4 linked regions of the Notamacropus eugenii genome follow. The protein of the gene in region 1 purifies or fractionates together with the protein of each later gene. This does not show direct contact. Links are inferred from orthologs where the notes say so. Each region holds a gene or a part of one and is shown on either strand. Other genes may lie near its edges. The genes, in order: STAU1, RPLP0, YBX1 and PHB1.

Evidence for each region.
Region 2: the proteins of STAU1 (region 1) and RPLP0 purify together in Homo sapiens (affinity purification with mass spectrometry; 4 studies listed by BioGRID and IntAct, with this or other methods). This does not show direct contact. The link is inferred for Notamacropus eugenii from reciprocal best matches to the Homo sapiens genes STAU1 and RPLP0.
Region 3: the proteins of STAU1 (region 1) and YBX1 purify together in Homo sapiens (affinity purification with mass spectrometry; 3 studies listed by BioGRID and IntAct, with this or other methods). This does not show direct contact. The link is inferred for Notamacropus eugenii from reciprocal best matches to the Homo sapiens genes STAU1 and YBX1.
Region 4: the proteins of STAU1 (region 1) and PHB1 purify together in Homo sapiens (affinity purification with mass spectrometry; 3 studies listed by BioGRID). This does not show direct contact. The link is inferred for Notamacropus eugenii from reciprocal best matches to the Homo sapiens genes STAU1 and PHB1.

The regions. Positions count from the first base shown.
Region 1 is NC_092872.1:517,876,266-517,883,153, reverse strand, and holds the start of STAU1 (double-stranded RNA-binding protein Staufen homolog 1), read right to left. Parts: upstream 3,002-6,888; 5' UTR 2,783-3,001; intron 2,497-2,782; exon of another isoform or gene 1,605-2,496; intron 1-1,604. UniProt on the Homo sapiens protein: Binds double-stranded RNA (regardless of the sequence) and tubulin.
Region 2 is NC_092875.1:25,063,795-25,071,687, forward strand, and holds the start of RPLP0 (large ribosomal subunit protein uL10), read left to right. Parts: upstream 1-4,893; 5' UTR 4,894-5,010; intron 5,011-5,459; 5' UTR 5,460-5,507; coding exon 5,508-5,561; intron 5,562-6,507; coding exon 6,508-6,683; intron 6,684-6,773; coding exon 6,774-7,008; intron 7,009-7,283; coding exon 7,284-7,469; intron 7,470-7,793; coding exon 7,794-7,893.
Region 3 is NC_092876.1:74,521,953-74,529,868, forward strand, and holds the start of YBX1 (Y-box-binding protein 1), read right to left. Parts: upstream 3,009-7,916; 5' UTR 2,227-3,008; coding exon 2,061-2,226; intron 1,409-2,060; coding exon 1,345-1,408; intron 1-1,344. UniProt on the Homo sapiens protein: DNA- and RNA-binding protein involved in various processes, such as translational repression, RNA stabilization, mRNA splicing, DNA repair and transcription regulation.
Region 4 is NC_092873.1:351,425,158-351,432,064, forward strand, and holds the start of PHB1 (prohibitin 1), read left to right. Parts: upstream 1-3,903; 5' UTR 3,904-4,036; exon of another isoform or gene 4,037-4,081; intron 4,082-5,896; 5' UTR 5,897-5,935; coding exon 5,936-6,023; intron 6,024-6,907.

The sequences.
Region 1 (6,888 bases):
TGTTTCTTAACAACTTCCCTAAATGACATAAATATCTTTTAAAATTACAGAGGGCAGTATTTGCTTGTCATCTATAGCTACGTTGGTATTACATGTCTACTAAAATCAAGAAGGTTTCAAAATTACTAAATTTACTATTAAAAAGTATAGTGGGTAATGAGGCTTTTTTTTAAAAAAAAAAATCCTCCAGAGTAGAATTTAAAGTTTCTAATCAGAATATTCTTTCCTTAATTCTTAACCTAAAATTACATCAGCATATTTGCACAACCACAGTAAAGAACCTTTTAAAGTTTTTCATCACATAACTTATTAACCATAGTTTAACTTTGACACAAAAAGTTATTTTCCATTAAAGATAGTTTAACAAATGTCCATTAGACCAGGAAGAAAAAATCCAACGTTTGATTTTTTTTTTAAACTAGTATCACAAAGAAAAAACTGCTGTTTCATACGCAAATAATATAGCTTGTAATCTTAAAAAAAAAAATGATCTAAATCCTGCCTCACATGTAATTCACCAAAACCTCCATTTTGGCTATAAAAATGTATATTACAATAATTTTTACCCCACAAAATAAAATAATTACCAACTGCAAATTACTAACTAAAAGATAACTTTATACATTCATTATAAAAATGAGTAACTTTAGAGAGAATAACAGCTTGGGAAAAATTAGTTATATTCCAAATCAATTTTAAAATACAATTTTAAAATGCTGTTTGTGGCAGCAGTGCACTTTACAAAAGGCAACAGGTAATTTGTCTGATTCATAGTTTAAACACTTCGGAAACTTACAGCGATTTTAAAATACATTGAAATGGATAACAAGACTTTATAAATGTATCAAACTATAATAGGCAAGTGTCCAACGTACTAACTTCATAAAATTAAGCAAAAGATGTTTCTAAGGTGATGTGTAAATCAAATATTTTAATTAAGGGATTCTATTTAAATAATTTAAATAATATAAAAGAACTTTTTAATAGAACAAACAAGTATTGCCTAATCTTTTCTGTAAATCAGGGTTTTCACAATCCAGTTTGCTTAGTACAAGATATACCAGTATACTTAACTTCTGAATTAAAAATAAACTCAGCATGCACAAATGAACCTACTACACTAAAATCTCACCTGTCAACTCTAAAATTACTCTCTGCAATCCAGCCACTTTAACTTTCAATAACTCTTAGTATAATTTATCTCACTTTGATTACCTAGAGATAACACGAACAACTTAAAATCAGTTTTCTCCTGCAGACTCACAACAATCAAGACAATCCGACAGCATACAGAAAAACAACAAAGTCCCTGAAACCTTAAAGCTTTTCCCATTGCCAGAAAAACCCACAGATGACTGGGCTGCCATACATATTTGGCCTTATAGAAGAGATTCTCTTACATACACGAATGATATTGCCACATGGGTAAGTGCACAGACTTATAATAGGCATCAGTAAACGAGGGCAGAGGAGCTGGCAAAAAGGTATGGTGTTAGAGGTTTGGATTATATTACAGTAGAAGACGAGGCAATTTGGAGTAAGGACAAGGAAGGAAATAAGCCACTGAATCTATTTACTTACTAAATACGGGATGGCAATATTACCTTTCTCTTACAGGTTGTGGCCCCAAATGATAACCAGCTGGTTCCACATACTTTCTACCGGAGGGATGATGAATTTCTCACATCCACATCAGTTGCCATGGATAAGTTTAAACTGAAATAGTCTTCTCCTCAACACAACTGCCTGCAGAAAAATGCATTTCTCCCCCAAGTGCACAGGTGTATGAGGGCGGCAGCTCAGAACTTTGTTTGATACCACTACTGTTTCCTTCCTTTCAAGGAACCAGAACCATACCTAACTTCCTCCCTAATACGAAAGGCATATTTGATATAGGAAAGCTCGGAGGATTAAAAAAAACAACCCAGAACCAGTCTATCCTCTCCCTTAGGATAATGAAGATTGGGACATAGAACAATAAAAAACTGCTGGAGTTTCAACAATTCAACGAACATTCCATGGACAATCTGGCAGGCAGCGGAGTAGGGGAAAGGGTCAGAATAAATTTCTTTAGGCATTCAGAGATAAACACTCTAGCCTTAGAACTGGGCTAGGGTTTGGGGGGGGGGGGGAGTGTGTGTGTGCAAAATCCGGAAGAGAGGAGCTTACGAGGGGCTCCTGCCTTAAAAAGGGCCTGGTCTTCCCCTCCGTGGCAAAGAACAGGTTAAAAAGGCTGTTGCACGTCCCTCAGGCCGAGAAGGTGCAGAGGGAGGAAGGGGCCTGCTGGGGGGGAGCAGACATGGGTCCCCAGCGAGACGGGGGCTGCAGCAAACACCGTTCCTCTGGGGAAAAGGCGGGGAAGGGCATCAAGCAGAAAAAGACCAAGGATGGAGAAGGGGCGGCGGAGGAACCGGCGCCTCCCGAGCCCCCATACCCCGGGAGGACGGCGAGGGGCAGCGGCAGGAGGAGAAGGCTGAGGGCTCTTCTCCCAGAATAGGCCTGATCCCCGCCCCGAGGAGGGCGGAGGGACTGAGGCCTTTCCTGGGGGAGGGGGTGGCGGCAGCCCCTCCCCACTCCGGCCGGGGAGGGAAGCTGACTCCTTCAGCGGCCTGGTGTCCCCAGCCCTGTCGGCCGAGGCACGCTGGAAGCGGCCGGTTGCCTCGCCTCCTCAGGCCGAGCTAGGCCGGGGTGGCTCAGGGGAGCTGTCTCCCGTCCCCTCCGCCTCTCCCTCACCCACCAGGCCCTCCCCCAAGCTGCAACGGGCTGGGCCGAAGCGCCTCACCTGGATTCCCGGGACTCGTCCCCCGACGAAGGATCGGTTAGGCGGTGGTTGTGAGGAGGGGAGGGGAGGCGGAATGGCCTGTGGGGGGGCGGGCGCCGGGGATCGGGGAGGGAGGGAGGGGGAAGCCGAGCCAGACGCTGCGGCCACAGGGCAAACACTAAAGAGAATGAGCCGCTCGGGCTCCCGCAGCCAGGCAGGAAGTGACGGGGGGGGAGGGACAGGGCCCGACCCCCCTCCTTCCCCAATCCCCTCCCCCCATTACTGAAACTACAATTCCCGGCAGGTTCAGCGCAGCTCCTGCTACGGAGACTACAATTCCCAGCAGGCACTGCATGAAACCCTACCCACTACCCTCCACGTCGGGAATCAAAATTGTCTTTCGCGATCAAGCTGAGGTGTGGTCCTTTGCTGGGGGCTATCCTAACCTACCCCTTCTTGCTCTCGACTGATGGGAGATGTAGTTCCCGCAGGATGCACAGGCCCAAATTCAGGGACAGCGGGCAGGAAGTGACAGCCTTTTAAAAGCAGAGGCAGGGGTTACCTCCGATAGAATGTCCAGGAACAGGTTGGTGTCATTCACTTAGACCTCAGCCAACATGTATGGGTATAACCATCCTTCTCATGGTCTTCGGTGGCACACATTCTCACCCCCCAGGTAACGCTGGCGGCCTCTAGGATCCATCCCAAAGGGCCCTTTCTTCCTTCTTTCCTTCCTTCCTTCCTCTTTCCTTAATTCCTCCTCTTCCTTCCTTCTTTCCTTCCTTTTTCCTCCAAATAGAGAAGCAGGAGTTAACATCATAGATGACTTTATATGCAGAATCCTTCAGTCCTCCAAAAAAAAGCAAGTTAAATAAATATGCTCTATAGTTTGTACCAACTTTAACTTAGTCTGTATTTAACCTAGGTTTTCCAGCAGCACACCCTGAAATTATTATTCTCCAACATTGTTGTTTCTAGCTTCATACTTTCACTTTTCAATTTACACTCATCTTTTTTTCATATGCTCTCCTTTGTATTTTTTATAGAAAGTGAAATAGGCTATCTCCATTCTTAACACCTCTACATGTTTCTGGGACATATCTTCCCATAATTCCTCCCTAAAGGATCTATCCAATACGCTATGGATGTTTCTTCTGTGTTGGTGATTTTTGTATTTCGGGATTCTGTTGCAACACTTGGGTTATTCCCTCACTCTAAGTACATGAGTGGCCTACCTCACTACTTTCACGTGCTAAGAATCGTACTTATTAAAATCCATTTTTATAGTGTAAAGAATATGATTTATCATTTCTCATCATAGCAGTCAGTCAACAAGCGTTTATTAAATACTAAGGATGTACCAGGCAGTGTACTAGGTGCTAGGGATGCAAAAACATCGAAACAGTCTCTTCCCTCAAGGAGCTTACATTTTAACCTGGAGACAATATAAATATATGTACGAAACCATACATTTTATGTGTACAAAACACATATATAAGACAAATTCAAGGTAATCTTGAGGGGAAAGGTAGGGGACCAGGAAAGGTCTCACACAGCCTTCCCTCACTTAAATCACAGTTAACTACAAGTCATGTCATCATCTTGATGTCATGGTACTCTTTCAGAACAAAGGACAAACACAACAACACACAGAAAGTGGCATATTTGGCATAGTGCTATGGTAGATCCTCAGTAAATTCATGTTAATTACATTTAAATTGGATGTCAAGAGGAAACAGTCAAGTAATATTCAAATTCAATGATGTAGATCCTACTTTGAATTGGCTGACCTGGCTGACACTCTAATAAATAAAAGCTCTACTCTGATATCTAATTGAGAACCCTGGGTAATTTCTGATGCCTCAGGAATGACACAATTTTCTATTCTTGTTTTGTTTGTTTGATTTCAGGATTTTCAAACTTTTGTTGTGTCAAAAACACATAGTTCTTCCATTGTTTCCCACATCACAAAAACCTTTTGTTTTTGTTTAAAAAGAAACATTTGGTACTTAAGCTATATGGTATTTTTGTGGGACTTAAATTATATTTTGTTTTGTATATTGCTGTTACAGCAGAGTAATTTGGAATAATTCAATGAAAATGTCTAAAATGTTCATAGACTTTTATCCAGAGATTCTACTGCTAGGTATATACCCAAGGAAATCAAGATAGAAAGGTCCTAAACACATCAAAATATCCATGCCAACACTTTTAGGCAATAGCTAAGAATTGGGAGCAAAATAGATGCTTATTGTTTGGGAAATTGAATGTAATGGAACATGTGCACCATAAAATAAATATGATTATTATTCAACATAAATAGTATATTAATTATGTTATAGAATTATTAGTTAATGTTAATAATATCTGTAACTGATGATATTAATATTTAGTAATAGGTAGGCATGGAAAGATATATATGAACTGACACAAAAGGAAGTAAACACCAGAAAAATAATGTATACAGTGACTACAATAGACAGGACAAAATAAATCCCCAGATTTAAAACTAATAGTAATGATCAGACCTGGTCATTACAAAAGAGATGGGAAAATGCGTCTCTGTCACTTCTTTTCAGAGGTGGGGAATTGTGGATATGTAACAATTAATATTCTGTCAGTCAATTAACAAATGTATTCTACATACCAAATGGTGGAAATACAAAGAAAAAGTGAAACCGTCCTTGCCCTCAAGGACCTTGTCTGGCATGAGGGAAAGACAACAAGTATATATGTAAATAGAGAAAGATAATTTTGGGAGAGGGGGAAGGCACCAAAAATCTAGAGGGATCCTGTATCTTAAAGGATTCTAGGCATTCTAAGATGTGGGGAAAGATTCTAAGGTGTAAGGGAGAGCAGTTACAATGAGACAGAGTAGTGTTGAAGTTTTGTGTATGAGGAGTAGAAAGAAGGCCAGTTTAGTTGGATTGTAGAGTGCGTGAAATGGAGTAAATGTATAATAAGCCTGGAAAAGTAGGCTGGGTCCAGATTGTGAAGTGCTTTAAATGCCAAAGTATTTTATTTCTTCTTTGAAGCAATAGGAAGCCACTAGAGTTTACTAAGAAGTAGAGTAACATGGTCGGGCAGTTAGGTGGCAGAGTGAATAGAGTGCCAAATCTAAACTTAGACACTTGCTGGCTGTGTGACCCTGGGAAAGTCACTTAACCCTTTTTGCCTTGGTTCCTTATCTGTAAAATCAGCTGGAGAAGGAAATGGCAAACCACTCCAGTGTCTTTGCCAAGAAAATCCCAAATGGGGTCATGAAGAATTGACACAAGACGGTCAAACTTACGCTTTAGGAAAATCACTTTGGCAGCTCTTGGTCAATGTGTTGCTTAGTTTTGTTGCAATGCTTTTTTTTTGGTCTTATTCCTTGTTAGAAGGGATAACTCTTAGGAGAGGGCAGAGGTGAGGGATATATTTGAAAATGAAGGTGATGTAAAAACCCGATATCAATAACAATTCAAAAAAGAAAATAGGATAATATAATGATGTATTTATAAGCAAAAAAGGGTGAAAGGAGGTACCAAGCTCGAGGGCATAATGGAGAAGACCAGTGAAATCCAAAAGCAGAGCTGTTGGTAGGAAATTAGGAACTGATTGCCCTGGGTCCTCTTTCAAAAGAGTGTTTTTGGAGCTTTTAGCTCCATCTTCCAGTCAGAGGGGCAGATGGCACTGAAGAGATGCAAATACCAGGGCTAATTTGATTTTGCAAGATAATGAGATTTCCCAATTACATATGAGGTTCCTGGGGCATTATGGCGTGATAAAGAAGTCCAAGTGGGTCAGAACACTGTGTAGCCGGTGGAGAATGAGGAGGAGGGAAAAGTAATTGAGATGTCTAGATTGTGAAGGGTTTTAAATGTCAAACAAAAGAATTTGCATTTTGTCCCAGAGGTGTTAGGGAATTTATGAAACTTCCTGCTCAAGGAAAAGTGACCTAGTCAGACCTGTGCTTTGGGAACATTATTTTGGCAGCTATAAGGAGGAGACATGAGAGAGAGACTAGATTGGAGACATGGAGAACAATTAGAAGCAGAGAGATGATTAGTGCTAAAAACTAAATTGATGGTCATGTGAGTGGAGAGAATGTGTGAGTGGAAGTAGAACTGACAAAACTTGGTAAT
Region 2 (7,893 bases), on another chromosome or scaffold:
GCTTACATTGTAGCCAGCCCTTTTCTGTCCTGTTTCTCCCAGGATCTGAGTGGCAGAGACTGTTGCTAATGGTTGCCACAGTGGTACATGTTGAAACTTCGCTTTATCATGGTGATGTCATTTTGGTCCTCTTTGAGAACGGACAGCCACCACCAACCTCCCCAGTGCCTGGTATACAGCAGGCACTTAATAATTGCTTGTTGGGTTGAACTGAGATGGCATTCAGAAAGCAGCCCAAGTGGTCCCAACAAACTTGAAAGAGAAGCATGGGCGGAGAAATTCTCCTCAAAGAGACTGTATGAGGTTGAACATCCTGACTCTGGGATGCTTCTTCTGAGTGTTCTAGGGATTCTCAATTCTATTGGGGTCTAATTAAGTCCTGGGAGAGTTGGACAGCAGTGTGTTTTCAAGGGCAGAGCCAGCCCTCTGGGCAAAAAGGATTTCGCAGATTCCATGGGCTTTCGTTCCACTCTCTGTCCTGGTTGCTCTTGGTGCAGGAGATCGATGTGGCTACAACTTCTCTCTCTTTTTAAAAAAATATTTTTATAGATTTTTTTGTTTGTTTTTACATCACATTCATTTCCAAGTCTTTCTCTCCCACCCAGTGAATCATCCTTTGTGAGGAATATTTACAAAGAAAGAAAAAAAGTAGGCCAACAAAACCCAAACTGACCTTGTTTGGCAGCATAGTACATAGTTATATGTATAGACACCAAGGTCATCTGCTGCACCCCGGGCCATCGCCGCTCATCTTGACTTTCATCCTGCCATTGGACTTAGATGACTCTGGAAGAGAGATTGAAGCTCACGACTTTGTGCCGCTCTGTGTCACTTAAATCCAATTCACTTTGGAGTCAAGACATAACCCCATAATGCCATTGGTCCTCTTGGAACAACAGCAAATATGACCGTCGTGATGCCTTGTCTATAAATCACCCCTTTCCCAAGGCAGCCCAACCTCTTTGGATCAGCTCTAAGTGTCCGGCAAGTTCTCCCTGAGGTGCAGACACAATTCACCTGTTTGCATTGCTGTCCCATCTACTCTCCGCTGCCAAACAGCAAATCTAACCCTGCTCCAGCCAGGTCACACCAGCTTGGAATCAGTTGTCAAATTTTCAGTGTGAGTATTGACACAAAACTGGAGACCCATAAGACCTTCAAGTCAGGGCTTGATTTATTTTGGTGATTGCCTAGACTTAAGAAAGCAAAGGACGAAAGGTTAATAATGCCGATTGAATTGAAAAGCATTTCATGCATACGTGAAACATTATTTTCTGGAGAGCCACTTGTTAAACATTTACCAGCATACCCCTGCTTCCTTCATATGTCAGCCTTTGAGTTGTGTGACACTAGACGTCATGGGCCCCTTTCTCCAGAATAAATAACCTGGGTTCGTTGCTTCAGTAGATCCCCATTTGGCAGGTGCTGGACTCCTCCCTCCCCATGCAGCAACTTCCTCCTTCTTGGCATTTCCTCTGTTAGGAATGGGATGAGACACCCAAGAGTCAGAGCCTCCAGCCTCCCGGGAAGTTTGCAGGCAGCCACGAGTCTCGGCGGTTGTAGTTTTTTAAGTAACCATGTGACCTGGCTCTCCTGAGGCCAGGGGTTTCTAAATGGAGCGCATATTTATCTGATCCCTTAGGACCGAGGAAGTTCCTTAGACTGGTATTGCCCTTGGGAGATTTCCCTTGGTGTGGGAGTGAAAGAGAGAGTGACAAGAAAAGAATGGGGAGAGTGAGGCAATAAAAGAGAATAGAGGGCAAAGAGGAGGGAGGGAGGGAGAGAGAGAGAGAGAGAGAGAGAGAGAGAGAGAGAGAGAGAGAGAGAGAGAGAGAGAGAGGCAGAAAAAGAAAGAAAAGGGAGAAAGTGAAAGGGAGAAAGGGAAACAGAAAAAAGGGAAAGAGAGAAAAAGAAAGAAAGAAAAAAGGATGAGAAAGAGAAAGGGAGAAAGGAAGACAAATAAAGAGAAAGGGAGAAAGAGAAATAAAGAGAAAGGGAGAAAGAGAAATAAAGAGAAAGAGAAACAGAAAGACAAAGAAAAAGAAAAAAGGGAGTGAAAACGAAAGGGAAAAGGAAAACAGAAAAAAGGGAAAGAGAAAGAGACAAAGAGAAAGAAGAAGGAAAGGGGGAAAGGAAGAGAAAGAGAAAGAAAAGAGGTAGAGAAAGAGAAAGGGAGAAAGGAAGAGAAAGAGAAAGAAAAGGGAGAGAAAGAGAAAGGGAAGGGAAGAAAAACAAAGAGAAAGAGAAAGGGAGAAAGAGAAAGAGAAGCAGAAAGACAAAGAAAGAGAAAGAGAAAAGGGAGTGAAAGAGAAAGGGAAAAGGAAAAAAGGGAGAGAAAGGGAAAGGGAGAAAGAAAGAGAAAGAAAAAGAAAAAAGGGAGAGAAAGGGAAAGGGAGAAAGAAAGAGAAAGAAAAAGAAAAAAGGGAGAGAAAGGGAAAGGGAGAAAGAAAGAACTGGGAAATAAATGCTTGGGAAGTTGTTAAATTTGGGTTAAAGTCCTACTGTGTGCTAGCTGTGAGGGGGGTAGGGGGAGATACAAAAATAAAAAAAAATAGTTCCTATCCTTAAGAAACTTCCATTCTATGGAGTGAAAGAACATGTACTAGAAGAAGTTAATGGAAAATATATGCAAAGAATATACAGATTTCGGAAGGGAGAAGTCACCAATAACTGGGAGAAATCTGGAGGGGCTTCAAGTCGGAGGTGTTCAGTTAAACCTTGAAGGGAACTAGGATTTCTAGGAGCAAGAGCTGGAGAGAGGGAGAAGGGGTGAAGGAGGAGGAGGGGGAAGGGGAGAAGAAGGGGGAGGGCAAAGAGAAGGGGGAGGGGATGGAGAGTAGGAGGGGTTGAGGAGGAAACACTAACATGGATGGTGTGTGTGTGTGTGTGTGTGTGTGTGTGTGTGTGTGTGTGTGTGTGTGTGTATGTGTGTGTATGTGTGTTCGTCCTTCGTTGCCAAAGAAGACCATCAGAGAAATAAAGACATGACTTGCACCTGACTGCTTTGAGTGAGGGAGGGCTGTGCAGGTCACCAGCCTCACTTCTCTTCCAGAGCCATCTGAATCCAGTGACCAGATATTCATCAGGATGACTAGAGATGACCCAGGATGAGGCAATTGGGGTTAAGTGACTTGCCCAAGGTCACACAGCTAGTGAGTGTCAAGTGTCTGAGGTGAGATTTGAACTCAGGTCCTCCTGACTTCTGCACTGGTGCTCTATCCACTGCACCACCTAGCTGCCCCAGCATGGATGGGGTGTGAAAAGGAGAGACATGAAATTGGATGGAAAGATAGGTTCAAACCAGATTTTGAGTAATACCTTAAATGTTCACCCTGCATCTCATCTCCAGAATCAGTCGGCAGGTCCACTCCATTTCTAGCCTCCATCTAGTCTCTCCAGCTCATCCAGTCTCTAGCTTAATCCACCATCTTTCCTGTGGATTGTAGCAATAGTTTCCTGCGTCCAGGATCTCCCCTCTCCAAACTCCCTTGTTCAAGGACCAAAATCATATTCCTAAAGCTCAGATGTCACCATGTGACGCCCCTGCTCACAAAGCTTCAGATTCCCTACTACCAAAGCGGGGTACACTCCCTCTCCACCCAAGACTCTCAAAATCCTTTAAGATTTTTAACTCCAGGGTCACCTCCTACAAGAAGCCTTCCCTGATTCCCCTGCTGTTCATGTACTATCTACTCTCAAATTATATTTGTCTTTTTAAACGCCTTATCCTCTTCATGTAACACTAGGTCCTTCAGGGGAAGGGCTGGTTTTTTGTCTTTGTGCCCATCTGAAGGGGATAGGAATGAGACCTGTTATTTCCTTCCTTTAAAGAACCTCTGCATCTTATATATGCAATATATATAAGATATATATTATATATATCCTTCTCTTCTTTTACCTGATCCATCTCTACAAGATATTTATCGATCCTGCCTTAGACTCCCCTTCAGTAGGGGACCTCCTATTTAAGGAGAAGGTTTCAGGCCAACCATATCATTATTCTTTTCTTGGATGTTTGCTATCCAGTCCATAAGACTTTTTCCACCATTCCTTAGTCCTGAGTGACTTTTCCTTCCCCTCCATCCCTTTTAAACAAATTATTTTCAATTCCTGGAAAAAACCAAGCATTTCCATAAGACGGTATGATAAAAAAGATGATTGCAAGTGAAACTGAAAATAAATAATTTAATGGATATTTGCCTACAGGATCAAATCCTTTCCCAATCCAGCTGCCTCCTCCCTTTTCCAGTCCCCCCCTGCACTCTTGGATCCTCCATCCCTCTGTCTCTGGGCTCTGGGTATTCTCTCCGGTCATCCCCCAGCCTGCCCTCCACCTTTCATGGGAAGCTTTCCCCAGCCCCTGGGAGCTCTCTGGCCTTCCTATTTATCCTATAGGTGGTTTGAGGGCAGGGACTGTCTCTTTTTGTATCCTCAGTGCCTGGTACTGTAGGCACTTAATAAATGCTGATTAGAACTGAACGGACTGATTTACCCAGGGCCACAGTCACCATGCCAATCAAGGGAAATGAACCCAGGACTTGCCTGAGGCCAAGGCTCTATCCTCATGACCTGATCCAGCTTCTTTCATGAACGTACCAAGCTCTTAAAGAATGCTTTTTAATTCATTTTCACTTTATTCAAGCCCAGTGCCTGGTATACAGCAGGCGCTTAATAAAGCTAGGAGGTAGCTTTGCTTTTTTGCACAGTCTCTCTGAGTAGCACCGAGGGAGTGCCTGGAGATCCCAGGCCGGGCCAGCAGGGGGCGCCAACGGATTTTTGCTTCTCTTTTTCTGAGATGCGGGAGACTCTTCTTGAGAAGAGGCCCACCCCACACCGAGCGGCCGCCCTAACGTCCAATGGAGGCCTAGATCGCTCCCCGCTCTCCGCACGGGCGGCGACGTCCGCCAATGGGAGCGAGCTTCGTGCGCGGGCGCAGTTTGGCTGCGCCGCTCGCTATAAAAGGCCCGCGGAGGCGTGCGGCCGCTCTCTCCCCAGGCGTCCTCGTGCAAGGTGGGTGCTATGGCGGCTGTGGGTCCACGGCAGGCGGAGGGCCTCGGCCGGGGGCCTGGATTTTACCGAGGGAGGTGCCGGAGCCCGGGCCCGGCTGGGGCAGCCCCACGTCGGGGGAGTCACGGAGGCCCGAGAGGCCGCGGGCCGGGGCCTGCGGGGCCAGCGTGGGAGGGCGGGGGGAGAGGGGACGTGGCCGCCCGGCCTAGCCAGCGCTGCCGTGGGGGGCGGGGAAGCGGGCCTTCTCCGGGCCTTGAGCCCGCTGGAGTGGAGGCGAGGGGCGCGTGTCCGCGTCCGTGTCCGTGTCCGCGTCCGTGGGGGCGGGGAAGCGGGCCTTCTCCGGGCCTTGAGCCCGCTGGAGTGGAGGCGAGGGGCGCGTGTCCGCGTCCGTGTCCGTGGGGGCGCCGGGGTGGGGGCGGGGCCCTCCGTGACCGACCCTGCTTCCTTCGCAGAGACATCGTCTTTAAACCCCGCGTGGCAATCCCTGAAGCACCGCCGAGATGCCCAGGGAAGACAGGGCTACCTGGAAGTCCAATTACTTCCTGAAGATCATCGTAAGTCACGCGCGGGCTCAAATAATAAGTGAGGAAAGCTTAGGAAGCGAGGTTCTCCCCAGGGACGGCCCGGAGTGGACACGGACTCGCGTGTATCTTGTGGGTTTGTCCAGATCGCGATTGTGGCCGTGTCACCAACACAAAATTGTGCTTCAGTCCAGCCTTATGTTAGTTTAGATGTGCGTGTTCTCTGCCCACTTGAAAGCTGCGTGGAAGCCGTGGGAGGAGGCAGCCCTGGTTAGGAACAAACTGCATTTTCTGGCGTATTTTAAGAGGCTCTTTTAGCTTTCCTGACAGGTTACTTTTGATTTTTAAGGTCACTTAACTTGGAATTTACGTCCAGACAAGTTTAACTGTTGACCATTCGTTTTGACAGGAGATGGTTGTCAGGGAGTTTTTGGTGGGCACCAGTAAGTTTTTAAAAAGGAAATCATTTGGGTAGTTCAGAAGCTAACTCTTTAGTAGTAAGATGTAATTCTGAATTGATTGCTTGTGTCCCATTTCCTCTCGATATAAAAGCGATCATGAGTGGTCCCCTGGGATCTGGACAAGGCGTTTTGGCGGTGTTTTACGTCCTCGGTGCTAGGATATCAGAATTACTTGGGGCCATCTCCATTTGGCCTGACAGCTGGACAAAGGTGGCTCTGGAGGAAAGAATGAGGCTGGCGACTTTGCACAGCTCTCTCTCTCCCTTAAATCCAGTTCACTTGTAAGTTGTGACATCGCCTTTAGTCTTCTGAAACAAAGGACGAACACGACCAACCAATAATCAGAGTTAGAAGAGACCTGGAAATGATGCGGTAGAGGGAGCCCCAGATGTGTGAAGATTTGTGAGATCTGAGTTTCAATTAAGTTTCTGCTCCTTAATACCTTGTGACTGAGGATCTGAATCTTTTCTTTCTTCGTATCTGACCTTTAACATCTATTTTTGGTGCTTGCTTTATAGCAACTTTTGGATGATTATCCAAAATGCTTCATTGTGGGAGCAGACAATGTGGGCTCCAAGCAGATGCAGCAGATTCGGATGTCCCTCCGTGGAAAGGCCGTCGTATTGATGGGAAAGAACACCATGATGCGCAAAGCCATTCGTGGTCATCTGGAGAACAACCCTGCCTTGGAGAAGTAAGTGCAGTGTCTTGGGGGTGCTCTCTTTATTTCTTACTTTACGAGGCCAAGGTGAGGGTGAGCTAACTGGAGTGACTTTTCTTTCAGGCTGCTGCCTCATATTCGGGGGAATGTGGGCTTTGTGTTCACCAAGGAGGATCTGACTGAGATTAGGGATATGCTTCTGGCCAATAAGGTGCCAGCTGCTGCCCGTGCTGGTGCCATTGCCCCATGTGATGTCACTGTGCCCGCCCAGAACACTGGTCTGGGTCCCGAGAAGACTTCCTTCTTCCAGGCTCTGGGTATCACCACCAAGATTTCCAGGGGCACCATTGAAATCTTGGTGAGTGTAGTTGGCTGTATGGGTATTAATAATCCCCTTTTGAATACTTAGCTGTGGAGCTGTGGGACTGTGGTTCAGTCTCGGAAGCCTCCTGAACCCTAAGGGTGGATGGTGCTAAATACTTAGAGACACACCTGGGTCAGGGGATGTTGGGAAGATCCAGGGCGAGCCCAGTGCGCTCTTTCAGCTCATCCTGATGTTCGCTGCTGGTATTAGTCTGAGGCATCCTGGGCATCCTTGCTGCCTCTGGGCTGACTTTTTTCTTGTTTTTTCAGAGTGATGTGCAGCTCATTAAGACTGGAGACAAAGTGGGTGCCAGTGAGGCCACTTTGTTGAATATGCTGAACATTTCCCCGTTCTCCTTTGGGCTGATCATTCAGCAAGTGTTTGACAATGGCAGCATCTACAACCCTGAAGTGCTGGACATCACGGAGGAGACTTTGCACCTTCGGTTCTTAGAGGTGGGAGCTGATGGGCTGGGTACTATTCTCATGAGGGGTTTGAATGGAAGCTGGTTGACTTTATGAATGTAAAGATGGGAAGCCAACAGGGTCATTGGGATGGGAGGCTGCAAAGCGTGATGGGAATTCTGCTGAACTGAAGATAGTTGGCCCTGGGACTGGTGTGTGTCCAGAGAGGTGACTTCTACCTGTCCAAAGTTTAGGGTAGGCTGCAGAACTGGCACCCCAGCAGCAGAAGAGTGAACATGCTTCTACCATGTCTGATCCCATGGGGCTCTAGAAAGTCAGGATTGCCACCAGATAATCACATCTCTTTGTCCACAGGGTGTCCGTAATGTTGCCAGCGTCTGTCTGCAGATTGGCTACCCAACTGTTGCATCAGTACCCCACTCAATCATCAATGGGTACAAGCGAGTCTTGGCTG
Region 3 (7,916 bases), on another chromosome or scaffold:
GAGATCTAGAAAGGAGATGGGCCTCCAAAACAAACTACTACACAGTAGCACAGATGGCATTTGAATCCATTCCCTTTCTACTACATGATAGCTGCCTCCATTACTAGAAAAAATTCAAGGGAGGTATCCTACACTAATAGCAATAATAAAACAACATTAATAGCTAAATTTTATATAGTGCTTATCTTACATAAAGTATACATGTATGTGTGTGTGTGTGTGTGTGTGTCAAGTACTGTATAAGGACTTGACAATGATCTCACAGTTCATCCTCGTAGTAACTCTATGAGGCACATGCCATTAGTATTCCCTTTTGCAGATAAGGAAAACAAGGCCAATAGGGGTCAAGTGACTTGTCCAGGATCACTCAACTATTAAATGTCAGGTCAGATTTTAACTGTCTTCCTGACTCCAGGAGCCACCTAGCTCCTGTCCCCAAATAGGTCAATTCCTTCACCTTTGTATACTAAGTGGACAATACATTACCTCAAATCAAAATTCTATAGCCCACGCCTCAACTTCCCCAAGCTGCAGAATCAGAAAGGCTCTACAGTTGTTGAAGATTTAGCAAAAGTTAGAAGACTATTATTTGTAGTTTTGGAAAAAATGGTTATTTTGCCATTTTCCTTAGTAATTTCACCCTACTGCTGGTCCTAGAGTCAGACAAAGAAAGGGAACAAGAGCACCAACGTACGCTGCTACAACAGGGAAAACAAATATAAACTGGAAAAGCTAAAAATTTTTTAAAGAAAAAACATTTTATATTAAATTTGGTTAGCCTCAATCTGAATTACTCCAAATTATGTAGACAGCTGAACCCTGCTATAATATGTAGTAATTCACTACGTTACTGCACCACAAACCCAAGACTACCCCCCTTCCAAAAAGGTTAATTGGATGCAATGTTAGTTAGGTCTCTGAACACCATCCTCACAAAGATTATGTTATTAAAAAAAAAAATGTATCACGATAACATATTTATTTGAACCAGAACAAGGGGAATCCTTCAGGAAGACTTTTCAGGAGGTTCTGACATTTTCAACTGGGTGGGATTTCTACTGTGCGGATTCTGCTCCATGTGCTACAGTAAGAGACAAGCTCCTCCAGCGAGGGCTCCTCCACCGCTACCGACTTACCACTCGAACCGAGAACACGTCGGACTGCTACAGTCCGTGTTCAGACACAACTGTTACCAAAACCACCCACGCACGAGGCTGCCGGCCCGCGGCTCTGCGGTCCCCGGCAGTGACCACTCGAACCCACGGCCCGGGCCGCGTCAGGGGTGGCAAGCGTGGGCCAGGACGCATGCGGGGGCAGGGCGGAGCGGCTCTAGCTTTCTCTCACCTGTTGATGAAACCATAGCCGTTTCTTACATTGAACCATTTTACTGTTCCCAAAACCTTCGTTGCTGGGAGAAAAAAAGAAGGAATCCAAGGTTACAAAAGAAATGCCCGGAGCCCCGCCGAGGCCCGGCCCCTCCCCCCAGCCCCGCCGCCCGGCCCGCGGCCTTCGGGGGGGTGCCGCCGGACCCGGGCGCAGCCGCCGGGAAGGCCGCAAGAGCCCTGCGAGCACGTGAGGGGAAGGCGCGCGCCGGCCCCCGCCCGGCCTGCGGAGGCCGGCGGCGGGAGGGGCGGGCACCGCGCCCTCGGTCTACACGCGGAAGGGAGGGAGAGCGTGCAGGAAGGGGAGGGGACCCGCACCACGGCGCTGGCCAGCTCGCCCGTGGGGCGCGTGGCCGCCCGGGAGGGCCCGAGGCCGGGAAACCGTTACACACGCGGCGGCCAGCGCGCGAGGGGAGAGGGGCGGGCGGGTGGGCGCGCGGCGGCGGCGGCGGCGCGCGGGGGTCCATAGGGGGCGCGGGAGGCGGCGCGCGGGCGCGGCGCCCTGGGCACGAGGACACTCGGCCGGCGCGCGCAGAGGGAGGGAGAGGAAGGGGAGGAGGTGAGGGCGGCGGCAGCGCGCGGAATCCATGCCGCGCGCCGCACCCCCCTCGGCTAACGGTCCCCCCCCACCGTCCCCACCGGCCCCGGGCTTGGCCGGGCCCGGACCATGCCCCTCACCGATGACCTTCTTGTCCCCGCCGGCGGGCGCCGCCGATGTGAGGCCGCCGGGACCGCCGCTCCCTCCGCCGCTGCCGGTGATGCCGGGCTTGGTATCGGCGGTGCTGAGGGCGGGGGCGGCGGGGGGGGCGGCGGGCGGCTGCTGGGTCTCGGCCTCGCTGCTCATTGTTGCGGTGATGGTGACTGGGGCCTGCTGCGGCAGCGGCGGCTCCTCCCGGGGTGTGATGGTGACTAGGCCGGCGGCGGCGGTGGGGCTGCTCTCAGGGCTCTCTGGGGTCCGCTCTCCGCTCCCGCTACCGATCGAACTAGCGAGAATGGCGGGACGGGCGGGATAAGCCCTCCGAGCGACCCGCCTTATGCTCCGCTCATTGGCTCAAAATGCCATCAATCCGCCACCTGACCAGAAGCGCCAGCTCTCATTGGCTAGGGGCGCATCACTCCCCCGCTCTCATTGGCTCTCGGAAGTGTAATTTGTCCAACTTACTAGCAATTCCAGCCTCCGCCGCCGCCGCCACCGAGACCGGAACTAGAACTAGAGTGAAGCCCCTGCTGAACCATAGAGTACCCGAGAGGGCGGGCAGAGGGAACGTGACTCGGAGCGTGGTGTAGTGCAAGCCCAGCCTAGTCCCGAGCGCTCTGGTCGGCGAGCTGGGTCGAGGTTGGTTGACTGGGCCGGCATAGAGCGCTCGGGATCGACTAGGGTAAAGGGGAGAGAGTTGCTCCGGGTTCACGCCCCACCATCCCCGGAAGTGAGGGGGGGGGCAAAATTGTCTACATGACACCTCGGCCGTCCGCCTCCGGGGTCCACATGGCCGGCTGCGGGCACCCAGGGGCCCCCGATTGTGGATTTTATTTCTTTTTCTAATTCGGCCATTTATCTTGTGACACGAACAACGCTGAGCCCTTTCCTATTAAGCGTCAGGCAGCAGTTTTCCTTTAATTATATTAGGGAAATGCCCAGATATAGGGATGAACATCGTGGAGAGAAATCCTACGATGAACTTTATTTTTGATAATGGCCAGAATGAGGAGGAAAGTGATCGCCTTCCTCTCGGCCGTCACGTGCAGGAACGGGATTTGTTCAGCCTAGCCCAGCCTGGCAGGAGGCTGGGAGGGCAGTGGCGGGTGGAAGGGGGCAGTTTCCTAATCGTCAACGGCAGATAAAAGCGCCGCCCCTTGGGGTCGTGAGCTCACCCTCCCCAGTGTGTTGTAGATAGAATAGTGGACCTTCTCCTGCAGCCCCCAACCCTAATTGTCTGGCAGCAAAACTGGTGAGGGGGGCGTGGCAGGGCAAGGCTTTTTTGTTCATGCGCAAGATGTGTCCGTAAAGGGATTTTTGTGTGCATCAAAAAACTGGCCCCCAAGGCAATCCTTGGAGATCCAGACAGGTTTTGAGCAAGAGAAGCCTTGATGAAGGACTAGGCAAGCACACGTCACCAAAGTAATTACTTTGAAGGCCAATTTATTTGCAAATGGCCTACTGGTTTAAATCTAGATCCTACTTTTTGAAAATAGGAACCCACACGCTGACCAGAAGGCATGGTTAGCCACTGCAGGTGCTACTGGTGCGATGGAGGATAGAAAGGAAGCAGGCTCCTTGCCCCTGTGAGGGCTGGAAGGGCAGGTGTGAGGCGGGGTGGTAGGGGACTTTTAACTGCCCTAGCTCTGACACTGTCAGCTGCTGGTAATTTGGTGAGTTACTGTACCCCAAGTACAGCAGGAGACCAGCGCACAAGTTTTGACCTGGTTGTTTTATTGCAGACTGCTGAGGCCAAGGCCTCCCAAACTATTCCAGCTAATTTTCATCCTATCACCAGCAGCTTCTTTACTCAGACCCTGGCCCTTTTCCTTGCTCTTAAAGGTAGGCATACAGAGAAATTGCCTCCTTTGTCCGGAGGACAACAGCATACTTGACACAACTTCCTAAAATCCTAAGCTTACTACATTCCTTTGGAATTCATTCCTCTCTTGAATCTTCCTCTATTATTGTCATAGTCCCTCAGCTAAAGGATCAAACAGGAGAAAAGCAGTAGGAATGGGAGAAAACTGACCACCTGCCTGGAACACACATTTCTACCAGCTGTCCCCTTCCTCAGTTCAGCTATGTTCCATAGTTATGTGCAGCACTGCCTAGGAAAGAGAAAGATGCTAGCTAGGAGGTGAAACCACAGTCATCCCAGCAGGTCTAGCTTAGCCAGAGTGAACAGACTGAGGCTCACCTTAGATAGAGTTTTTTTAAAAAAAGACAACCAAAACACAAGCTTTATTTACAGTTGCAAATTTAAAAATGAAAGGCTTGGGGTCCTGAATCCATGACAGGTCCTATCTCTTGATCACAAAGGCAGGCAGTAACCAAGGAAGCAAGGTGGAAGGCCAACCCATCTTCTCAGAAGCATCACTGGGGCAAAGGGAGCCTAAAACAAGAGAAACACGGACTTCTGTGGAGGCCAAAGCAAGGAAACAATTCTGAACAGATGGGATGAACCTGGCCAACTCTAAATGAAGTGGTGGAAAAGGATACTGACCTTAGGAGTCATAAGAGGAAGGCCCAACCCTGGCCCTGTGCTAAGTCACTATGAGCCTCTGGACAAATCAAACTTTTCTAAGTTTAGTTTCTTCATCTGCAAAATGGGGACCCTGCTATCTGCAGTGGGTGACAAATAGGATAAGGTATGTTGTTGGGAGTCCTTTTTTAAGAGTCCCGAACTGTTATTAACAACTATTATCAGGTACCTCTGTGACCTGCCTGAGTAGGGAAAATAATAGAAGTACTCCTGCCAGAGGGAAATCCTAGGGTTAGGCAGAGCTGAATTGGGCTAAAACTTTGCAGGGCTTAGGGTGAGAACTTCAGCAAACTCTAGCAAAAAGCCCCAGGACTGGAGTCAGAGTTAGATCCTGTGGGAGGGGCAGGAAAAGCGAAAGGAACGGCTCCACCCTTCCCTTCCCTTCGCCCAGGTGGCCATGTACCCAGCAATCACTCAATCAAGGCAGACTGCTGGGATCAGTTCCTTCTTACCTCCACACTTCTAACCGCTTTGGAATAACCCTGGAGGTTCAAGTTTGAATTCTGGAGCCCAGCAAAGTGGGCTAAAAAGTGGCCCTTCAGCCTTTGTAAAACGCAGAACAAACATCTCTTGCCCATGGTAATGGCTGCTATTTGCACTGCAGGGCGGGGCTGGCTGGATCTGGGGCACAGGCTAGGCCTGTGTCAGGATCCAAATCGCTGCGCTTGCTTCAGAATTTTGAAAATATTTGTCTTTGAACTGTATAATGCCCAAAGTGAGGTCTGGCTAAGCCCTCTTGGATCTTAATCCAACCAGCAGGCCTGGCCTGAACCCAAAATAACCTCCAAGAGCAGACCCTTGATTCAGGGCTTCTTACTATGTGGCAAGGCAGTTTGGTATAATATTCTGCTCCAGGAGGCAGGAGACCTGGATTCAAGTCCAGTCCCTCATTAAATATATGGAAGGAAAAGTCATTGCCTAGTTCTGGACTTCAGTTTACCCATTTGCACAACAAAGGAGAGGGTCAGATGACTTTCCTTCCCATCCACATGTTCTAGAATTCTACCTCCGGCAAGCAAGTATTTATTTGGTGAACAAATGCCCAACCTCCGGTGTGCCCAGGACCAGTATTTTCACATGAAATCCCCACCACCCCAGGCCCAATATCGACCTAGACATTATTTCCAAGAATTGGAGGCAGGTGCAGAAAGGTAAATGGAAGGGAATCTGCCCAGACCGGCAGCATCATCAGAGAGGCTGCTTGTCTTCTGGTTCTTCCAGTACCTCAAAACAAGGTGCTGCAGGCATTAATTCTGTTCTCCTAGCAACTCCGGATGCCAACTGAGAGCAACCAGAACCTCCTCTGCCTCTGGCGAGCTTTTTCATTATTGGAAAAATAAGGGATTCCTTCTCTCAGTAAGCTGCCCAGTGGCCCAAGGGCTCAGACATGTTCAGTCTGGCAGGTGTGGCCTTTTTAATGAGCCTGAAATAGGAGATAAGCCTAAGTGTAAGAATGGTCAAGGGCCCATGAAGAGAGAGAGCAAGTAGGCTACCACAGGCTCCTAGGATCCAGAGAAAAAGTGTATCTGAGAGATCATCTAGTAGCCTTGCTCTTGACGGAGGAAGCAGCTGATTCCTACAGAAGGAAAGGACTTGCTTTGTGAAAGTTTTCACCAGGTAGAAACAGCACTGGACTGAGGTTCCAAACCCACTTCAACACTTACTATTCTGGGATCATGGGTCAGTCATAGAACTTCAGTTTCTTTATCTGTAAGGTGGGCCTAATACTTGTAAAATCTAGTAGGGCCACGGTGACACGCAGATATGATAATGTATGTGAAGTGCATACAGAAACATCAGTTCTTATGTTGCCCAAAGTCTTCCTGTCCCTTCATGGCCCAACTGAGGTCCGTCAATAAGCATTAAGTGCCTGGGCTTATTAAAATAAGCACTGTGCCAAGTTCTAGGGATACAAAGAAAGGCAAAAGATAGTCAGTCACCTGCCCTCAAGGAGTTCACAATGTAACTGGAAAAGACAAGTAGTAAACAAGCAACATCTGAGGATAAATGGGAAATAGTGAGAAGGTGCCACAAATACGAAGGGTTCAGAAAAGCTTCCTGTAGCAGTTGGGATTTTAGCTGGAGCTCAAAGGAAGGCAGGGAAGGCTTGTCGGTGGACATGAGGAGAGAGCATTCTGGGCACAGCGAAAATGCCCAGAGCTAAGAGATGGAGCGTCTTGTTTGAGGAACATTCAGGAGGTCAATGTCACTGGACTAAAGAATACTTGGGGATTGCAGATAGAAAACTGGAAAAATGGGGGGGAGAGCGAGGTTAGGAAGGACTTGGAATACCCGAGGACTTTGTAATTGATCCTGGAGATGACAGGGAGTCACTGGAGTTTGTGGAGTATGAAGGTAACATCATCAGACCTGAGTTATAGGAAAATCATGTTAGTGGCCGAATGGATGATGGGATGGTGTGGGGAAGAGACTGGAGGCAGGCAGACCCACCAGCAGCTATGATAATAGTCTTGGCATGAGGGCTTGCACTAGAAGGGATAGCAGTGTCAGAGGAGAGAAAAGGATGCATATGCAAAGAGAGGTTGCAAAGGTGAAATCCAAAAGCCTTGGAAATAACTTGGATATGGCAGGGGAGGAGGACTGCGAGAGACAGTGAGGGGTCCAGGATAACTCCTAGGTTGGAAGTCTGAGGGACTGAGGATGGTGGTGCTCTTGTAGCAACAGGTTAGTTTGGAAGGGAGGGTTTAGGACAGGGGTGGGGAACCTACCACCTCGAGGTCACACGTGGTTCTCTTTGGTTGAATCTAAACGTCACAGAACAAATTCTCTTAATAAAAGGATTTGTTCCATAAAAATTGGACTCAGTCAAAAGGCCAAACCTAAGGACCTAGAAGGCCACATATAGCCTTGAGGCTGCAAGTTCCATACCCCTGGTTTAGAGGAAAAGATAATGAATTCTGTCTTGGACATGTTGAGTTTAAGACATCTACTGAACATACAATTTCCAAAATGTCTGAAGGTTTAAGATGCAAGATAGGAAGCCAGCAGAGAGGTCAGTGGATAAATAAGAATATTCGAGACTATTGAGATAATTAAAGGTGAAGTTTCTCCTCTGGAGCCTTCCCTGATAACTCCTCAATACCCAGACACATAAATACACAAGTGATCTCTTCCTTGTCACATTTCTCCCACTCTCCCAGGGCTTTGAGACCTATCTCTCTCCCCTCTGGGCCATCAATGTTTGTGTATCTGTCTGTCTCATCCTGACCTCCGTTCAATGATCAGGTCTTTGAGAGGTTAGAGATGGAAAAGGAGAGTTGAGAATCATCAG
Region 4 (6,907 bases), on another chromosome or scaffold:
GGAGTTGGGGGAGGGAAGGGAGGGATGCCTTTGCATTTAAGTTGACTTGGCATAACTGAATACCATTTGTGACAATGGGCGTTGATTGTTTCTTGACCATTCTTTCCCACCCCTCTCTACTGCACCACGCCACCACCACTCCCCCTGTCACCTGCCCCCCCTCCCCCCACCAAATGAAGACTCATAGAATGTTACAGCTAAAAGGAACCTTTGAGATATGTGGTAGAGAAGGAAAGACACCCAAAGCCCAAAGACAACAGGGAGGAGAAGACCTCAGAAAGCTATTCCCATTGCTAACCACTCCACACTCTACTCCCAAGAGATACTTTTCCCCAACCAGTCCACTTGAGGACACTGGTTCCCCCTTGTGGTAATCTTCTGAATTATTATTTTTCCAACCCTATCTTGGATCCCAAGGCCCTGGGGTAAAGACCTATGTCAAGAGTGAGAAACCTGCCATCTCAAGGTCAAATGTGGCCCTCTAGGCCCCCAAGTGTGACCCTGTGACTGAATCCAGAATTCACAGAACAAATCCCCTTAATAAAAGGATTTGTTCTGTAAAACTTGTATTCAGTCAAAAAGCTACACCTGAGGCCTAGAAAGCCACATGTGACCTCAAGGCCGCAGGTTCCCCACCCCTGAATTTACTGCTAGTCCCATAAATCAAGTTTTCCTGTCTTCAGCTCTTTGACTCCCCCTGTACACCATCTATCTCTGCATGAGGTGGTTACCCATGCTGTGGCAGGAACAAAAAAACCAGAAAGTGTCAGAATTTCAAAGTTGGAAAAGACCTTGAAGCCCATTCTGTGCAAACCAGATGTGAAAAAAGGAAACTCTACAACATATTTGAGAAAGTCATCTGGCTTTTGCTTAAAGACCTCAAGGGAGGGTGAACCCACTTCTTCCTGGGTCAGACATTTGCAATTTTGGATCATATAATACTTGCAAAATTTTTCTTTGCATCAAGCCTAAAGTTATCCTCTGCAAGTTCCATTTTTCGCTTCTACTTCTGTCCTGGGTCCAAGCAGAAGTCTTTTTTCTTCCATATGACATCCCCTGAAAACTTGAAGACAGCTATCATGTCCCCTTCACCTCCACCCCAAGTCTTGTCTCCTCCAAGTTAAACAGTTTCAGTTCTTTCACCCTATGCTATTATGTGGTATGAACCCAGAGCACAGTGCCTGGCACACAGTAGGTATTTAATAAATGTTTATTGATCGACTGACTTATTGATGAACTCAAGTCCCGTTGCCATTTTCATTACCCTCTTCTAAACATATCAATCTATCAATGTCCTTCCAAACACATGATATCTGGAAAGAAATGTAATATGTCACATCAGGGGTTCTTTACCTTTTTTGTGTATTGTGGATCTCTTCGGCAGTCTGGTGAAACTTAGGGACTCCTTCTGAGGAAGTTTTTAAATGAATAAAATAAAACACACAGGATTGCAAATAAATCCAATTGTAGTGAAAACAAAGATGTATTTTTTTTCCCTGAAGTTGATGGACTCCACATTCAGAGTCCCTATTCTAAGAGATCTCCCTAGTCCTGGGCACTGTATGCTGCCTCACATCACATAAGCTTGGCCACCATATCACACTTGCAATATACAGCAGCTTGCAGTCCACTAAAACCCCCAGATCATGTTCAAACTGTTGTCTAGTCAAGTCTTGGTTTATTTGTGTACAGAGAGACGCCTGAAGCCTTGTGTTTAAGAGCTGGTTCCCTCCTTGGGTTTTTGCATGCCATAAATTTCTGGGCATCTTTCCCATTATTATTCTTTTTTTCCCTACACTGTCATTGAGCTCTATGGTAAATAGCTTGAGCAGATATATGTAGGCAGGTTTGGCTCCTCCTCCTTCCTTTTCAGTTTAAAGCCCTTTGATTAGATTTGCAATATTCCAGACACATTATTTTTTTTAATTGCTTTTCCAATTACATGTAAAAATAATTTTTAACATTTAAAAAAAGTTTTAGTTCCAAATGCTCTCCTCTCCTTCTTCCTCTTTCTCTTCATTGAGAAGGCAAACAATTTGATACAGGTTATACATGTGCAGTCATGCAAAACATATTTCCGTATCAGTTATGTTATCAAATCTATCTCTTTTTAAGTCCTTGCCTTCAATTGGTAGCAAGGATGAAAACGCCACCTATGCTCCTAAGACCTTCAATTTCTTGTCCCAAACTACAAAAACTTTAAAAATGCCTTCCAAGATTCCTTTAACAATATTATTTGGTGGCAGATGGGTGACAAAGTGGATAGAGTGCTGCCTTGGGGTCAAGAAGATGAGTTCAAACCCAGCCTCAGAAACTTAGCCATGTGACCCTGGGCAAGTCAATTTAATCTGTTTGCCTCAGTTTCCTCATCTGGAAAATGAGATAATAATAGCACATACCTCCTAGGGCTGTTGTGAAGATCAAATGAAATAATAATTTTAGAGCGCTAGCATAGTACCTGACACGTAGTAAGCACCATATAAATGGCAGCTGCTACAATTGTTTTTGTTATTATTGGCACCCACTAGGGTCATCAAAAGTGGGTAGTAATTACCTGGTTTGACACATCCTGTCTCAAGTCTATGCCCCAGGAAAATGACAAACTTCTGTTGTCATTACCAGTTTCATAAACAGCCCCTCAGTGAGTCCCCTCAGTGGAGGGGCACCCACCAGCACTACTCATCTCTTCTTCCTCGGACCCTCACCAAAGGCTCCCTCAACCGACCTCCTTCACAATATCCTTCCTAGAAATGGCTCGCAGCTCCCTGCCCTCCAGGAAGAGTCTCAAGACCGTTCAGGGGTCCTTCTTCTTCCCTTTTTCTCTATGTTACCATTTTTTTCTTCTTCCACCTCCTGACATAGGTCAGAATTCCCTCCTAACTATTTAGATCTTTCTTCTGTGCTTTCACATTGAAGGTCTTCTGAGTGGTCGACTTTTTCCATTTGTTTTAAACACTTTATCCTCCCTGATAGACTCCAGAGAGAAGAAGCATCCTCAGAGTGCCTTCACCTTCTCTTCCAGGAGGAGACCAGCCATCTGGCCTTTGGGGAAATACATCCAGCACACCACCAGATCCTCCCCTGCTCTGGAGCCTTGCTAGAACTGCAGTCTTCAGCGCTGAGCCCTCCTGGTGGCAAGCTCCTGGCGCAGCCTGCGGCTCCCAACGTGGGACCCGCTTTCCCTCTTTTGCGCCCAGATAGCCAGCTGGCCCGTAACTGACCTGGCCTTTATCTTGCCGTAACAACGTGTTTTACTCACTGGTCTATCTTAACTTATCTTACAGACTTCCTCCCTCAGCTCACACTCCATGCTTCTGCACATACACGAGACGGTAAAGCGCAGGAAGGTCCTCAGGCCCACCCAGGAATGCCTTTGAAACTCTTTATGCGCATGGCCAAAGAATACTACAACTCCACTGCTTCGGACTTAAGGTTCGCAGAAGCATTTGACCCCCACTACCCAAGCAAGGTGGACAGCATGAGGGGCCGCTAGGTGGCGTGGTACAGTACTGGGCCTGAGTCATCTTCCTGAGTTTACATCCAGCCTCAAACACTTACTAGCTGTGTGACCCTGGGCAAGTCATTCAACTCGGTTTGCCTCAGTTTCCTTCTCTGTAAAATGAGCTGGAGAAAGAAATGGCAAACCACTCCAATACCTTTGCCTAAAAAATCCCAAATGGTGTCACGAAAGGTTGGACACAACCAAAACGAGTCCGAAACAGCCCAGAGGTTACCTTCCCCTAAGGCAAGGACGCAGTAGACGCTTCCGGCGGCACGTGTAGTCATTCCAGGTGAACTACAACCCCAGCAGCCTTTGGGGCCAACTTCAACCGTCCAATAGAAAAGGATTTTCTTCACCAGCTTAAAAGCAGCGAGGCATACCGGGAGTTGTAGTTCCCTCTCATTAGAAGAATAGGGGCTCAGGACCAGTCTTGAACCACCAATCCCAGAAGGCGCCACTTTCCTATTAGCCAACAGGAGGAAAGGTCCTTCAGGAGGGGGCGGTGAAGGGAAGGCGAGACCCGACGCAGGCGCAGTAAGTAGGGTTGGGGAATTCATGTGGAGGTCAGAGTTGTGTCTGGTGAGCTAAGGGTTTGGGCCTTTGATAACTGTGTTGTCGTGCCCCACTCTCGCGCGTTCCCGTGGGATATTGAGGGGAGGGGGCTCGAGGAAAAGAGGAGGTAGTTGAGGAAGGAGAGGAGAGTAGAGGAGCTGAGAGCCAGAATGAGAGGAAGTGTGAAGAGTCTGAGGGAGGGAAAGAGTAGAGGAGGAGGCTGGGGGCGGGGAGGAATGGAGCGGGCAGACTGAGAGAGGGAAAGAGCAAGAATGGAGGGGGAGGGAAAGAGAAAAAATGGAGGGAGGAGGCTGAGAGAGGGAAAGATTGGAGGGGAGAGGGAGAGAGCAAGAATGGAGGGGGGAAGCTGAGGGAGGGAAAGAATGGAGGGGGAGGCTGAGAGGGAAAGAGCAAGAATGGAGGGGGGAGGCCAAGCTTAGTGTGATAATGGGGAAGATGGGAAAAAGGAAATGGTAGAGACATGGGAGTGGAAGGGGACTCCTAGGAGGCAACTAGAATTTGAAGGTTGGTAACCTAGTGTTAGTGAAAAAGACTTGAATTCTGAATCAGGCATAGCTTGAATCCTTTGGTTCTCAGTTAACTTATCTGTAAATGAGGAATTGAAGTTACTTTTGTCTTCGAGGTGTTTTTAGATGTACCGATTCAGAGTGGATAGAAAGGTTTCAAAGCCAGGACGATCATCTTTAAATTCTTTCTCTGATACATGCTGGCTTGTGTCCCTGGACCAGTCACCTAATTTCCCAGTGCTCTAGGCAAGTTGCAGAGAAGGTGCCAACCTGCATTGCTGGAAGTTTCCTTACACTATACCAGGCATTCTTGAACTTGCCATCCAAGGGTAATTTTACACAGGGTCTGTGAGCTTGAATAAGAAAAAAAATTTACATCTTTATTTTCATTAATCTCAAACTGAAATTTTATCATTTTCTTTTATTATGAATGTAGGCAATGAACATTTTGACCCATGGGCTTTACCAGATTTCCAAAAGGGTCCATTATATTAAAAAGAACCGTTGCTTATTACACTGGAGTTATAGGTCCTGTCTTATCCTTGTGCCCTATAGTTAGAAAATGTGTGCTCTTAACCCATGGAAGGGAGGGAGTTATATAGTATTGAGGGGAGGAAAAAAATGAGATGATCTCTACAGTTAAGTGAGATTTCTGGTTTCTGAGGTCTAGTTAATTTCTTTTGATCTCTGAGAAACTTTCCTAGCTTTCCAAGAATCTATTCCTACTTCTCACTTTTCCCCCCATGCTCCACTGTCATGCTGGCATCCATCCAGAGGACTTTTCTGTCCAGTCTTTCCTTTCTCTAATAACATGACATTCTCCATAGAGGAAAATGGTGTTGATAGCCCTACAGTCAGCATGGCATTGCACATTGATCTTCTCTTTTTAAAATACTGGAATGGTTTTTGATGAATTCCCCATACTCTCACCCCATCCCCACTGTGACCACTAGAATCTGTTTTTGATTTGTCAAGGAGGAAGGAACTTTAACAGTGTGAAGTTAAATGGTGTTGAAGACCAGCCCCATGACTGACCGTAGGTGTACGATGCCCTTCCTAGTGAACTACCTTTCCCAAACCAATCTCAGCCCCTACCCCTGTCATCAAGTGTTTGTAACTGAACATGAAAGCAGAGGAACCATAATTCATGGAATTTTTAAGGCTTTCTAGGGTGTTAACCTGTTTAGCTAAGGATGAGCAGAACCTTCAAGAAGATAGAAATCTTACCCTGATTAGAAGATGAATTCAGTGGTTGGGAATGAGTTTTCACTAGGGAATGTATGGGCCAGGCTAGCCTTTTGTTTTCTCCCTTTAGGTCTGAGAGAGCAGAAGACCAAGACCATCTGAAGGAGACATGGCTGCTAAGCTGTTTGAAGCTGTTGGCAAGTTTGGCCTGGGCTTAGCTGTTGTAGGAGGAGTTGTCAACTCTGCTTTATATAATGGTGAGGGCAGTCTCCCGACTCATACTAAGGGTTCCTGTTGTCCAATGTAACACTCCTGGTAGTAATCACTATCTATGAAAGTGGTTGTTTAATAAGACCACCTTTCCCATGCTGTGTATACCCACTGTTATGTTGGGGTTTGTTGCTGTTTAAAAAGACGTTGTACAACTTTTTAGACTTTTGTTCTTTGCACCCCTTGTTTACAGATGTCCCTGTCTTTGATGTTGCTACATTTTAAAAATCATGCTCTTCAGGAGTTAAAAGTATTTAATCAAGATAACTAACAGATATCACCGCCCTTCTACCTTGGGTGGAATGTCTCCGTAGGTGTCCCATGTAGTTTGGAACGGGGCGGGGGCCCTGTTAGATCCCCCAATTTGCAGTCAGGAAGCAGCAGAAAAGCATCCTTCTGGGTTTGCAGCTATAGGAATGAGGGAAGTTCTTCATGGCAACAGTGAGGTTTAAGTAGACATGCAAACACCTGTGGTTTCCAACAGTGTCAGAGGGCAACTTCCAAATGCCTGGGACGGTTTCTTTTGTGGTCCAGTAGCCACATCTATACACATGGATGGCATTCCTCACTAGACATGGTCTTTGATTTATGAGCATGGATATGTTGCTTTCCCAATAAGGCTTTGAGAAAAACAAGGCATGAGAAAATTAGAAGTGGAGGTTCTGAATTTCAGAGTTACCATCAAGAGTGCTGCTTTAACTGATGCTACACCTGAAAAGCATTCAGTTAAGTTGAAAGTGTGGCATATGACCCAGGTGGAGACTTTTTTTTTTTTTTTGGCAAATGTGGATTATGTGTTCCTGGAAATAGGCTCAAGGGAGCAAGGGAGAGAGTGGTTAATCACAAAATCAGCAATTTCATCTTCCAAGGA